Linked DNA regions of Sus scrofa. The protein of the gene in region 3 purifies or fractionates together with the protein of the main gene of each other region. This does not show direct contact. Links are inferred from orthologs where the notes say so. Each region holds a gene or a part of one and is shown on either strand. Other genes may lie near its edges.

Region 1 (3,647 bases), on a different chromosome or scaffold from region 3:
GTTAAATGAGATACTATAATGGTAAAACATGGAGTCGAACACACTGGAACACCGTGCAGTCAGGGCTGTGGGTGGTGCCTGGCCATCCGGGGATGGCCCTGGGGAGACGAAGCAGCTGCAAGGGGCGTGCACACCGTCTCCCACCGGGCAGGAGGGTTCCACTTTCCTCACTCTTCCTTCAGTACCGAAGTGACACCCTTTTACTGCAGCATTGTTTTTATGAGGAAGAGGTTGTGAGCAGAGGCTTTTGGTCCCCCCAACTAACCGTGCTCCTCAACCCAGGTGCTGGGCCCTTGTGGGAGTGGGGCCCTGGGCAGGACAGACCACACTCCTGCATCTTCCCGGGGGCTTCATTTTTCCAAAAAAAAAAAAAAAACAAAAAAAACAAGTTTTTTTTGTTTTTTTTTGGAGGGGGTTGTGCATATTTATGTTAACAGTAAAACTGGGAGACTTCAGCCAAGTTCTCTGTTGGGGCACCATCTCTGGGCTTTGCGTTCAGCTCCTCCGGGAAGATGTTAGGAGAGGGAGCAGGTGGGAGAGGCTCAAAACCCGAGGGCACTGTCTCCCGGGGACCAGGATCCCGGAGGGCAGCCACCAGCTGAGTGTTTACTGGGCCTCTCTGCACCTCATTGCCCATGACCTCAGGCACCGGCTCAGCTCTGTTCTGCACATAAGGAGACTGAGGCTCACGGAATGGGAGTAAGTGGCCCAGGCCCTGCGGTCACAGGGAGGGCAGGTCCTGAGGCCAGCCTGCTTCCTGACCCCCAGGCCCCGTGCCCCACCTACCGTGTTGATCTTCCTGGGCAGCGGCACAGGTGTCTCGGGCAGGGTGGGCGTCAGGTCATTGGCGTCTTCGGACGCTTGCTTCTGGATGTTTGGGGACAGGTCTGCCGGGTGTGACTTGGGGGTGAGCTCCAGGGGCTGAGCCTTGGGCGAGGCGTCTCCCGCCGGGGGTTTGGCCAGCAGGTCTCCCAGCTGCGGCTTGGGCGGCAGGTCCTTCATCTGCGGCTTGGGCGGCAAGTCTGAGAGCTGTGGCTTGGGGGGCAGGTCACCCAGCTGCGGCTTGGGGGGCAGCTCTCCTGGCTTAGGTGGCAAGTCTCCAATTTGGGGTTTGGGAGCCAGTTCCGTGGGCTTCGGGGGTAGGTCTCCAGGTGGTGGCTTCAGGGGTAACTCTGCCAACTGGGATGATTTCTGGAAGATTTCGGGCGGGACGCCGGCTTTGTCGAGGGAGAGATGATGGCTGGTTTCTGTTTTCCTTAATGCCACTGCAGGAAACAACCAGAAAGAGGGGTCACTGGATGGGGGATGCCCTGCCTTCCTCCCCCTTCAGGGTCACACAGAGGGGACCCCACCCAGAGGGAGCGCCGTGCAGGCACACGGAGGCCTGTTTGCAAACAGGTCAAGAGCTGGAAGCCTGGGAGGTAAACACATTACAACAGAAGATTTTAAGTCTCCATTATACAAGAACAGGATGTCCAAATTTTTAATCCAGAATTGAAAAAAAAAGAAAAAGCAAAAACCCCACAACTATACACACAAAACAGATTACAAAAAAAATGAAAAGTATAATTAAAGTTTTCCATAAGCCTACTGCCTAAATGTAGCCATTTCAAGTATTTTGATGTATTTCCTTCTGGACTTTTCTATATATTTTGCACAAATAAAACAGTTATCTGCTTTTATCTATACACTGTTTTAGCAAGAATATTTGCATATTAATAAAATTCTTTTTTTCTTAGGGCTGTACCCAGGGCATACGGAAGTTCCCAAGCTACGGGTTGAATCAGAGCTGTAGCTGCCGGCCTACACCACAGCCACAGCAGTGCCAGGTACGAGCCGCCATCTGTGACCTACACTGCAGCTGGTAGCAATGCTGGATCCTTGAACTCACTGAGTGAGGTCAGGAATTAAACCTGAATCCTCATGGATACCAGCTGGTTCACTATCGCTGAGCTACAATGGAAACTCCCTGAACTGCATTAACTCTGAAGGGCAGACAAGCAAGCTTCCCCCCAGAGCTGGATGACACCAAGCAGCACGCTGCCAGAGTGAGGCACACCACCAATAAAAAAGGAGTGAGAATTCCGGCCCCTCCCCAGTCCCCGGAGGTTATGGTGCAGCTGGATCAACAGGCAGGACAGGTGAGACAAGTGGACTCGGTCCTCTGAGAAGCTTTGGGGCACAGAATGGGGCCTGCCGAGAAGGCCCTCCCTTCGGCTGCAGTGGTTCTGCTCCTGAAAATGGACTCTACGGACAGAACCGAGGAGGAGGCAGAGAAGGACTCGCAGCACACATTTCCAATAAAAGGGGGTGCCAAGGCCAGGGATGGCGCCCAATTAGCCAAAGAGCAAGGGGCCTGACGACATTCACAAAGAGCTCACGAACACGTGAGAAATACGCATGTTGAAACCTATGATGCAGAACCGTGCTTTCACCATGATGACAGATGCAGAAGAATGTAAGGGACCAGTGAGCTGGGTCGCAGCGCAGAACCATGGAGACGCTGTTCAGGTTGAAAGATCCCTTGAAGTTCCTATAATATTTCTTTTTTTTTTTTTTTTGATTTTAATTCTTATGTCCCCAATACAATTTTTTCCCCCTACTGTACAGCATGGTGATCCAGGTACACATACATTCTCTCACATTATCATGCTCCGTAAGTGACTAGACATTTTTTAAAAAAATTCAATATTTCCTTTTAAAACTCACTTAAAAAAAGGGTTCTGTGCTGCTGATCCCTAGATGAGAAGGCTTTAATTAAGCCTTTTAAGAGGTGCCCAAAGGAGCTCAAAAACGGGTGATGTTTGGGAGGGAGAAGGAGTGGAATGTGGCCAGGACAGTCCACGTGAGAGTCCTGCTGGTGGCAGGTGCTGCGGAGGGGTGGGGGGGAGGGCAGGGCAGGGCAGGAGCACTGGCCCTCTCAGCATCCCCGATGCCTTCTGCTGCCAGCTGAGGCGGCTCAGAAATATACCTTGTTTTTCAGGGAACCACTGGCTGGATGGGCCAGGAGTGACCTGATGTAACATGGATGACCCTGGCTGTTCTGTTGGGGACAGGCTGTGGAGCCCGGGGAGAAGCAGGCAGTCTAGACGTGCACTGTAAAAATCCAGACGAGGGGGAGTTCCCGTCGTGGCGCAGTGGTTAACGAATCCGACTAGGAACCATGAGGTTGCGGGTTCGGTCCCTGCCCTTGCTCAGTGGGTTAACGATCCGGTGTTGCCGTGAGCTGTGGTGTAGGTTGCAGACGCGGCTCAGATCCCGCGTTGCTGTGGCTCTGGCGTAGGCCGGTGGCTACAGCTCCGATTGGACCCCTAGCCTGGGAACCTCCATATGCCGCAGGAGCGGCCCAAGAAATAGCAACAACAACAACAACAACAACAAAAAGACAAAAAAAAAAAAAAGAATCCAGACGAGGGAGGACGGTCCCCGGGGCCACAGTGAGCGGAGGACACAGTGAGAAGCGCCTGGACATTAGGGTGGAGGGAGAAGCCAGTGTGGAAGCTCATGTGAGAAAGGAAGGGGTTGGGCTTCTCCCTTAGGGTTTAAGGCCCAAGCCCTGCACTGGGCAGCATCGCCTGCATCAGGTGGGAAACGCTGGGTGACGAACAAGTTTGGGGGGGGGTGGTCAGAGGTATCCTGACATGTTT
Region 2 (4,091 bases), on a different chromosome or scaffold from region 3:
CGACCCACACCACAGCCCATGGCAATGTCAGATCCTTAACCCACTGAGTGAGGCCAGGGATCAAACCTTCATCCTCATGGATGCTAGTAAGATTCGCTTCTGCTGAGCTACGAGAGGAACTGCCACTATGCCATTTTAGATAAAGAACTTAAGTATCCTAGGTTTCTGGTATCCTAGAGGAATCTTGGAACCTCCCCTGCCCCAGGACACCGTGGGATGACTGTACCAGCTACTGTTTACTTAGCACCCACTACAGGCCAAGCTCCCTACGTCATTTCACTCAATCCTCATTCAACTCTGTGAGGTGTGTTGTTAACCTCATCTTCTATATTGGCTTACCCTGTGAGGTATCTGTTCAAATAGTGAACTTTTTTTTTTTTTTTTGTCTTTTTAGGGCCACACCCATGGCGTCTAGAGGTTCCCAGGCTAGGTAGGGGTCTAATCAGAGCTGTAGCTGCCGGCCTACACAGCCAAAGCAACTCCAGATCTGTGCTGCATCTGCAACCTACACCACAGCTCACAGCAACTCCGGATCTTTAACCCACTGAGCGAGGCCAGGGATTGAACCTGCAACCTCATGGTTCCTAGTCGGATTCATTTCCACTGGTCCAGGACGGGAACTCCTGAACTTTCTTCCTAATAAGAATCCCTGAAGGGGAGTTCCCGTCACAGCGCAGTGGTTAACGAATCTGACTAGGTACCATGAGGTTGTGGGTTCGATCCCTGCCCTTGCTCAGTGGGTTAACAATCCGGCGTTGCCATGAGCTGTGGTGTAGGTCGCAGACACGGCTTGGCTCCTGTGTTTCTGTGGCTCAGGCGTAGGCTGGCAGCTACATCTCCGATTGGACCCCTAGCCTGGGAACCTCCATATGCCGCTGGAGCGGCCCTAGAAATGGCAAAAAGACAAAAAAAAAAAAAGAATCCCTGAAGGGAGTGTGCACAGGAAGACCCCACACTTTGTTGTATTTTTGTACTGCACAGTGTGCATCTGTGCAGCACACTCCCTCCTTTAGCCACAGCAGAGAGAGCCTGCAGTCCAAAAAACATCTAAAATTTTCAGATCAAACAGACTCTTGAAGTTGAGTCTTACTCACCTCACACCCCCACCTCCCCAACAGTGGCCGGGCACAGGTGGGTGCTCATTAATTTATTAACTTCGCGGTCCTAAAAAAGTTGCAGCAGCCATTCTGGGGGGGGGGATCCCCCTTCATCAATCTTTGGCAGTAGCTCTGAAAAAGCTCAAGATACAACTCAAAAGCCACCACTGCCTTAGTAAAACACTCCTTTCTCTCAGCTCCCCAGAGAGAAGCAACTCCAGCATCCTGTCCCTATTTCTAACTGGAACTATCAGTCTTCATCATTTACAGGTTTCCCCAACAAGACAGTGTGGTTGGTAGAAGCACACTCTTAACATTTCTATTTTCCACACTGAGATGAAGGTGCTCATAAAAATGTATTAAACAACCAATTTCATTGTTTTAGGCAGGATAATAATTGGCACTTTGGCGCAAAAGCAATCACTACTACTAACTCCTCAATTAAAATGAAAACCATCTGCTTCCCACGTATGCATGTAGACTGTCTTTCCCAGGAAGAATCCTGACAAAAATGACCCTGTTCTCCCAGCATGACCTTCAGCACCTCCAGCACAGACCATCTAAAGATCTGAAGGAAAAGGGCCGCTTTCCTTCTGTGATGGGATTCCCCTAGCTGAAGAAGGGAGGGCAGTTTCTACCACGGGATGAGACTCCACTGGGAACTGCTGGAAAACCACAACCATTACTCAGGCCAGACAGCTGCCAAGGAAGCAGCACTGCCTCGGAATTGAAGCTAAAATAGAGGTGGGAGGGTTGTATTCCATTACTAAGCCCTGGAGTATTCACTCCCAAGTTCATCCACGTTTCAAGAATGTTAAAACCCTGTAGGCAAAACCCTGATTATTTATAACTTAAACTACTGTGTAAAGCAGAAACTTGACAAATGAAAACATAAAAGAAAAGGAACTGGTGACAGGTAAGATAATACCAGAATACAAAGTATTCATCACTCCCTTTTTGGGGGGTCCTCCAAAACCCTATCTCCATTCCCTGCCACAAATAACTTTTACTTATACTGCCGACTAAAAGAGATTGAAAGGGAAAATGAGGATTCCCATCTCCAAAGAGTCGTCAGTTCGTCTCATGCACACATGCTCTAACTTTGCATCAATTACAGAATAACTGGTTTGAAACTAAGAAGGAAAACTCAAAAGCAAACAACAGGCGACATAACAAGCTCAACGAGATGCCTCAAAGGTAGCAGGGATCCAAAACAGAGTTCAAGAGAGTTTCCCCTACTCGCGACTGAAAACCAAGTGACTTCATAGAACAGAGAAAAAGATTCAGGAATCCTGGAGGCCCTGACCCAGCACCTCTGCCGGCGAAACCTACTCCCTGCCCTCAACTCCACCTCCGGATGGAAGAATCCCAGCCACCTACAGCGCATCCGGGAAGCCCACCACGCGCTCCTAAGCTCTCTCCTCGCGACCCTTCTCCCAACCGAGCGGGACGCCAGACGGCACTTACATGGAGCCAACTTGACATCTCCCGCCTGGGTGGAAACCCGCGATCTCCTCGCACCGGCATTTTCGGGCGCGGGTCTCTCATGGACGCACCAGTCCCGAGCCCCGCTCCTCCTGATACTCCGGGCGGCAGGTCAGTTCTCAGTCCGTCAGCCGCGTTTTGCCTGGGTGACGGCCCCACGGGGACCCACCCCTTTGTCCCTCCTCCCGCGGCCGCGGCGGCTGCGGCGTCCGCCCGCCCCCGGCCGCAGGCAGCGCCTCTGCGCCGGCCGCCGGCCCGGGAAACTCTGAAAAGGGCCGCTACCACCCCCGCGCGGCCCGGGGGAAGGCTTGCCAGCGCCGCGCCCCTCAAGTCCCCACCGAGGGTTCGGGCTCGCGCGACTCCCCGCCAGGGACGGAAGAGGGTGGAGGCAACAGGCAGACACCGAGGCCCCAGCTTACCGCGCCCCCCACGTCCGAACCTCCCCCCTCTCCGGCCGGCCGGATGGTTCGCTCCGCGGCATGCACAGGGCCTCAGGTCCCGCTCCCGCCCCGCGCGTGCGAGGGAAGCGCTGCAAGTTTGCTTGCAGCGGTAAGTGTGGGGTGGCGAGTTAGTCAGCAGGTTCTCCCATTAGAGATCCTGTAAGAATGCTTTTTGGAGACTTTTGCAGCGCCCCCTCCTCGGTTCTCTTCCGAAAGGAAGAACCCGGGAAACCCCGAAGTTTTTGCTGTCTTGCCTAGAGGCTGGCAACACAGGGCACTGTACCCCAGGTTTTTCAGCTCAACAATTCCCCGAATTCCGAGGGTATAAGATGTTCATGTTAAAGAATAAAACATGATTTTTGAGGGAAATATACGCCAGGTTATCTCTTTGGCACATTTCCAACAACTCTAATAAAGAGATGGAAACTCCTCTCTCATCACTAGCTTTTAAAAGGCTTTTTTTTGAAAAATAGGTTACAAATACTTATCAGGCAGGATTCATCAAATTCAACTCAGTACATTTATTTGTTTTAGAGTCCTCTATACGAAGAAATGTGCACAATAAATAAAATCTTATTTGGGGAGTTCTCAGAGTGGCACAGCAAGTTAAGGATCTGGCATTGTCATTGCTGTGGCTCTGTCCCTATCCCATGCCAAGGGCACAGCCCCAAAATTTTTTTTTCCTTGTTTTAAGGTAATGTAAGTTATTTGGAAAATCAAGACAGGTGCACTGATGTAAAAAAATAAAACTTTGGGTTTGGACTCTAAGGAAACCACACTGTAAGAAAAAAAAAATGTGGCCATCCTGCTCTTCTAAATTGAAAAGCAAAACTCGGCCCAGGCTCCCAAGAAGGTAAAAGGTAAAAGGTCAAAATGGATCCACTGACGAAATGCAGATGCCCGGCTCTCTCCCTAAAAAGTTGCTTCACTTCCTGCCTAATCAAAACAAGTTTGGCAGTTTATGTGGAAAAACAAGTCCAGCAGATGCCTCTCTGAAAGTGTTAGGCTTCTGGCCTCCTTTGGAGTAGCTAAGTGCATGACTCTGAATAAAAAGCACTGTGAGTAATAT
Region 3 (3,647 bases):
TGTGCGGTGGGTCGCAGATGCGGCTCTGATCCCGCATTGCTGTGGTTGTGGTGTAGGCCGGCAGCTATAGCTATGATTCGACCCCTAGTCTTGGAACTTCCATATGCCAAGGGTGTGGTCCGAAAAAGACCAAAAAAAAAAAAAAAAAAAAAAAAAAAAAAAAAGCAGCAGCAGCAGCAGGAGCTCTACAGTCCCTACTCTGGCCATTTTAGAACTGACATGTGAAGACTGGGGTCACCTCCTTGAGGAAAAAAGATCCAGTGAGAAGGAGCCCAGCCAAGAGCTGGCACCAACAGTGGACATGGGAACGAGGCCATCCGGCCCCTCACGCTGCTGGACAACTGAAGCCCCATGAACAGCACCGCATGAGGTCAGAAGAACCACTCGGCTCAGCACAGGCCAAATTGAGCCAACAAATGGTTCTCTCCTCAGGCAGCAACAAGTAACTGACAGAGGACTGTGTATGACTGTGGATGGTCTTTTATGACAAATGGAAATGTCTGAATTTGTTTTTTAATATTAAATTTTGTTGGTAAAGGGGACCACATCCTTTTATTGTTGCTGGGGAAAGCAAGACTTGTGGAACAAAGGCAGGTAAGATATAATCTGAGATCCGAAGCCAAGCTTTCTTCCTTGAATTATGATACAAACTGACTTTATGACTAACTTGGCCTTAACGAGTCATACTAGAAGACAATTTCCCAAAATAATTCAATATAAAACATACAATCACTATGGTTAAGAATGTGAACTACACTTAGAAAAAAAATTACCTCAAATACGTTCTTCTTGCTGGATTTATCCTTTGATGCCATCTCAATTGTTGCCCCTCTGAGGTCCACTGTGAACTCTGGTTTGGACTGATTACTCCCAAACTTCATTTGAGAAAAAAGGAAAAACGTTTTTGTTACATTCATGCACATATGTGTATCCAAAAAGAATTAAGACCAATTTTATATTATTAGTAATAACTCAAACAGGTGATCACCTAGAATGCTTCCTTTCCCTTTTTTTTTTTTTTTCTTTTTTGCTTTTTAGGGCTGCACCAGTGGCATACAGAGGTTCCCAGGCTAGGGTCCAATCAGAGCTACAGCTGCTGGCCTACGCCACAGGTGCAGCAATGCAGGATCCAAGGCACATTTGCAATCTACACCAGAGCTCAAGGCAGTGCCAGATCCTTAACCCACTGAGCGAGGCCAGGGATCAAACTCGAATCTTCATGGATCCTAGTCGGGTTCGTTAACCTCTGAGCCACAACGGGAACTCCGCTTCCTCTCTTTTTATATTACAAAATAACAATTCCTATTTTAAGTTGAAAACTGTCTGTAAGACATGATTGTATACAGTTCATAGAAAAGGAAACAAAATGGCTCAGAACCCATCATTATTTTAAAAAATACAAACTAAAGCAGTACTAAAATCTTTTTTCCCCCATTAGTGCAACAACAACAATAAAGTTTGCTGAAAAACTCTCTTGGTGAGGCTGTAGAGTAATAGGCCCTCATTTGCAAGTGGGGTATAAACTGGTATGCCAAGAGAGGAAAAAATTGGTAATACTTTATTTTTTAATTTTATATTATTTTTTAGGGCCACACGTGTAGCATATGGAAGTTCCCAGGCTAGGAGTCGATTCAGAGCTGCAGCTGCCAGCCTACACCACAGCCATGAAAGATCCGAGCCTTGTCTGCGACCTACACCGAAGCTCACAGAAACACTGGATCCTTAACCCACTGAGCGGGGCCAGGGATTGAACCCAGGATACTAGTCAGGTTACCTGCTGAGCCACAACGGGAACTCCCTGGCAATAACTTTATTTACAAATGTATCAACACATGTATTCTTTGGTTCTGCAATTCTATTCTTTGGAATTTATTCTAAACTACCTAGGACTATGTCAAATGATATGTCAAAAGGCAATATTCTTACATATGTATAAATAATACCTGATAGAATTTTTTTCCACCTAATAAACATTCTCTAAACCTGATTTTGTGCTTTCAAGAGTTATTTCCTTATTGACAATTTAAGTTGTCAACAACTAACAATAACTTGTAAAAACAAAATTCTAACCCCCAGGTTCTTTTATTCAGCTTTTGTTAGAAATAAAAATGAGAGCCAGATGCTCTAAAGCCTCAGCAATTTAATGAGGAACTGTGATAACAACAGGAAGACAGTTGACAAGGGTGGTTTGAGAAGAAAAAGCACTTAGTTAGCTATTATATCTTGTTAGCCAGATAAGGAAAAATTAGCATATGGCAGAAAACTTATGTTAAATGTAGACTTACTCCATATCTTGCCATTATAACTTAAAATTTTATTTAGTCTGTTTGCTGAGAAAATAAGTATTCCCAATGTTATTGTAGGGTCAGGAGGTTTAAAATCTTTATGAGCTGATAAATTGTAATCTTTAAGGTCATAAAGATTTGATACCGGAAATTTCATTTGCCAAAATATTTTCAAGTCAAATTCTGTTTGCCATTGGAAATGGATCCTACCCATTGAGATAAATTATTCATTATTCATAATGTCAAGGACTACTCCACAGTTTCACATTTAATAAATGGTTCAACTTGATCTGTTCCTTTTAATTCATCTTTTTGGCTAGCAGTGTAAACTTACATAATATACTTGTTATAACTTAGGATATTATGTGGAATTTATTACTGGAATCGAAATCAAATTTAGGATATTCCAGGAATTTTATTAGTGGAATCATAATAAAAATAATAATAAAAATTTTAACAATTCTACAAAGCCTTTGCCATCTTTAGTACCTTTTGCCATTTAAAAGACACGTAATTCATCATAAAGCTATGATAAGCACAGATAACTTTCTGAGCCAATTTACTCCAAAGTTATAAAATTTCAATGGATACATTTAACAAAATGATAAAAATCAATTTAATTTTTCATGACATGCTCTGGAGATGGTTAGCTATAAAGCTAAGCTATCAGTGACCAACCAATAAATTATAGCAACCAAATACAAATACAATGACGTGACATGGAATGCTAGTAAAAATGCTTCAATATGGCTGGCAAAATTCTGTGTTTGTTATCCATTATTTCTGAAAATCTAGTCCTGCTTTTCTCCATGTAATCATCACTTTGATGCATTCACAGCAAAGAAAACAGAATTACTGTGACAAAGGACATGCAACAAGAACACATACAGTGACAGCGGAAACAGGATCAGATTTTACATATGCGACAGCAGGCCGGCGGCTGACAGAGTTTTTCCAAGAAGAAAGCAGCGAGAGCAGGAGCTCAGAGACTGAGCCCTGATGGCAGAATGACTTGATGGGAAAAGGGAAGAAAATGACGATGTCATTATAGTGCACAATGGCAACATGACATACATGAGAAAACCATAATGGAACCAGATAGGACAACACAACTGCAAGCCACACAACACAGGCAAAGCTGAATTTCCACAATCTTTTCCAAAGGCCCCAGAATTTACTTCAGAGTATTTTCTGATGCTGTTATTAGGTAAATTCATGTTTTATTTTTAAAGTAAATGCTTTACACAACTTACCTTACACAGACCTGTGTTCCCTTCTGTTCACACTGGAAGACTTGGGGGGATGGAGTGGTGTCACACTGGCCTTCTGTCCTCTTACTCAGTGCCCCCTACAGACCCCTGT

Evidence for each region.
Region 1: the proteins of ARHGAP12 (region 3) and ASAP1 purify together in Homo sapiens (co-immunoprecipitation; 3 studies listed by BioGRID and IntAct, with this or other methods). This does not show direct contact. The link is inferred for Sus scrofa from reciprocal best matches to the Homo sapiens genes ARHGAP12 and ASAP1.
Region 2: the proteins of ARHGAP12 (region 3) and TJP2 purify together in Homo sapiens (co-immunoprecipitation; 3 studies listed by BioGRID and IntAct, with this or other methods). This does not show direct contact. The link is inferred for Sus scrofa from reciprocal best matches to the Homo sapiens genes ARHGAP12 and TJP2.

Annotation. Positions count from the first base shown.
Region 1 is NC_010446.5:10,442,729-10,446,375, reverse strand, and holds part of ASAP1 (arf-GAP with SH3 domain, ANK repeat and PH domain-containing protein 1), read right to left. Parts: intron 1,266-3,647; coding exon 787-1,265; intron 1-786. UniProt on the Homo sapiens protein: Possesses phosphatidylinositol 4,5-bisphosphate-dependent GTPase-activating protein activity for ARF1 (ADP ribosylation factor 1) and ARF5 and a lesser activity towards ARF6.
Region 2 is NC_010443.5:222,523,480-222,527,570, reverse strand, and holds the start of TJP2 (tight junction protein ZO-2), read right to left. Parts: upstream 2,820-4,091; 5' UTR 2,646-2,819; coding exon 2,565-2,645; intron 1-2,564. UniProt on the Homo sapiens protein: Plays a role in tight junctions and adherens junctions. Acts as a positive regulator of RANKL-induced osteoclast differentiation, potentially via mediating downstream transcriptional activity.
Region 3 is NC_010452.4:42,472,837-42,476,483, forward strand, and holds part of ARHGAP12 (rho GTPase-activating protein 12), read right to left. Parts: intron 3,297-3,647; coding exon 3,174-3,296; intron 876-3,173; coding exon 774-875; intron 1-773. UniProt on the Homo sapiens protein: GTPase activator for the Rho-type GTPases by converting them to an inactive GDP-bound state.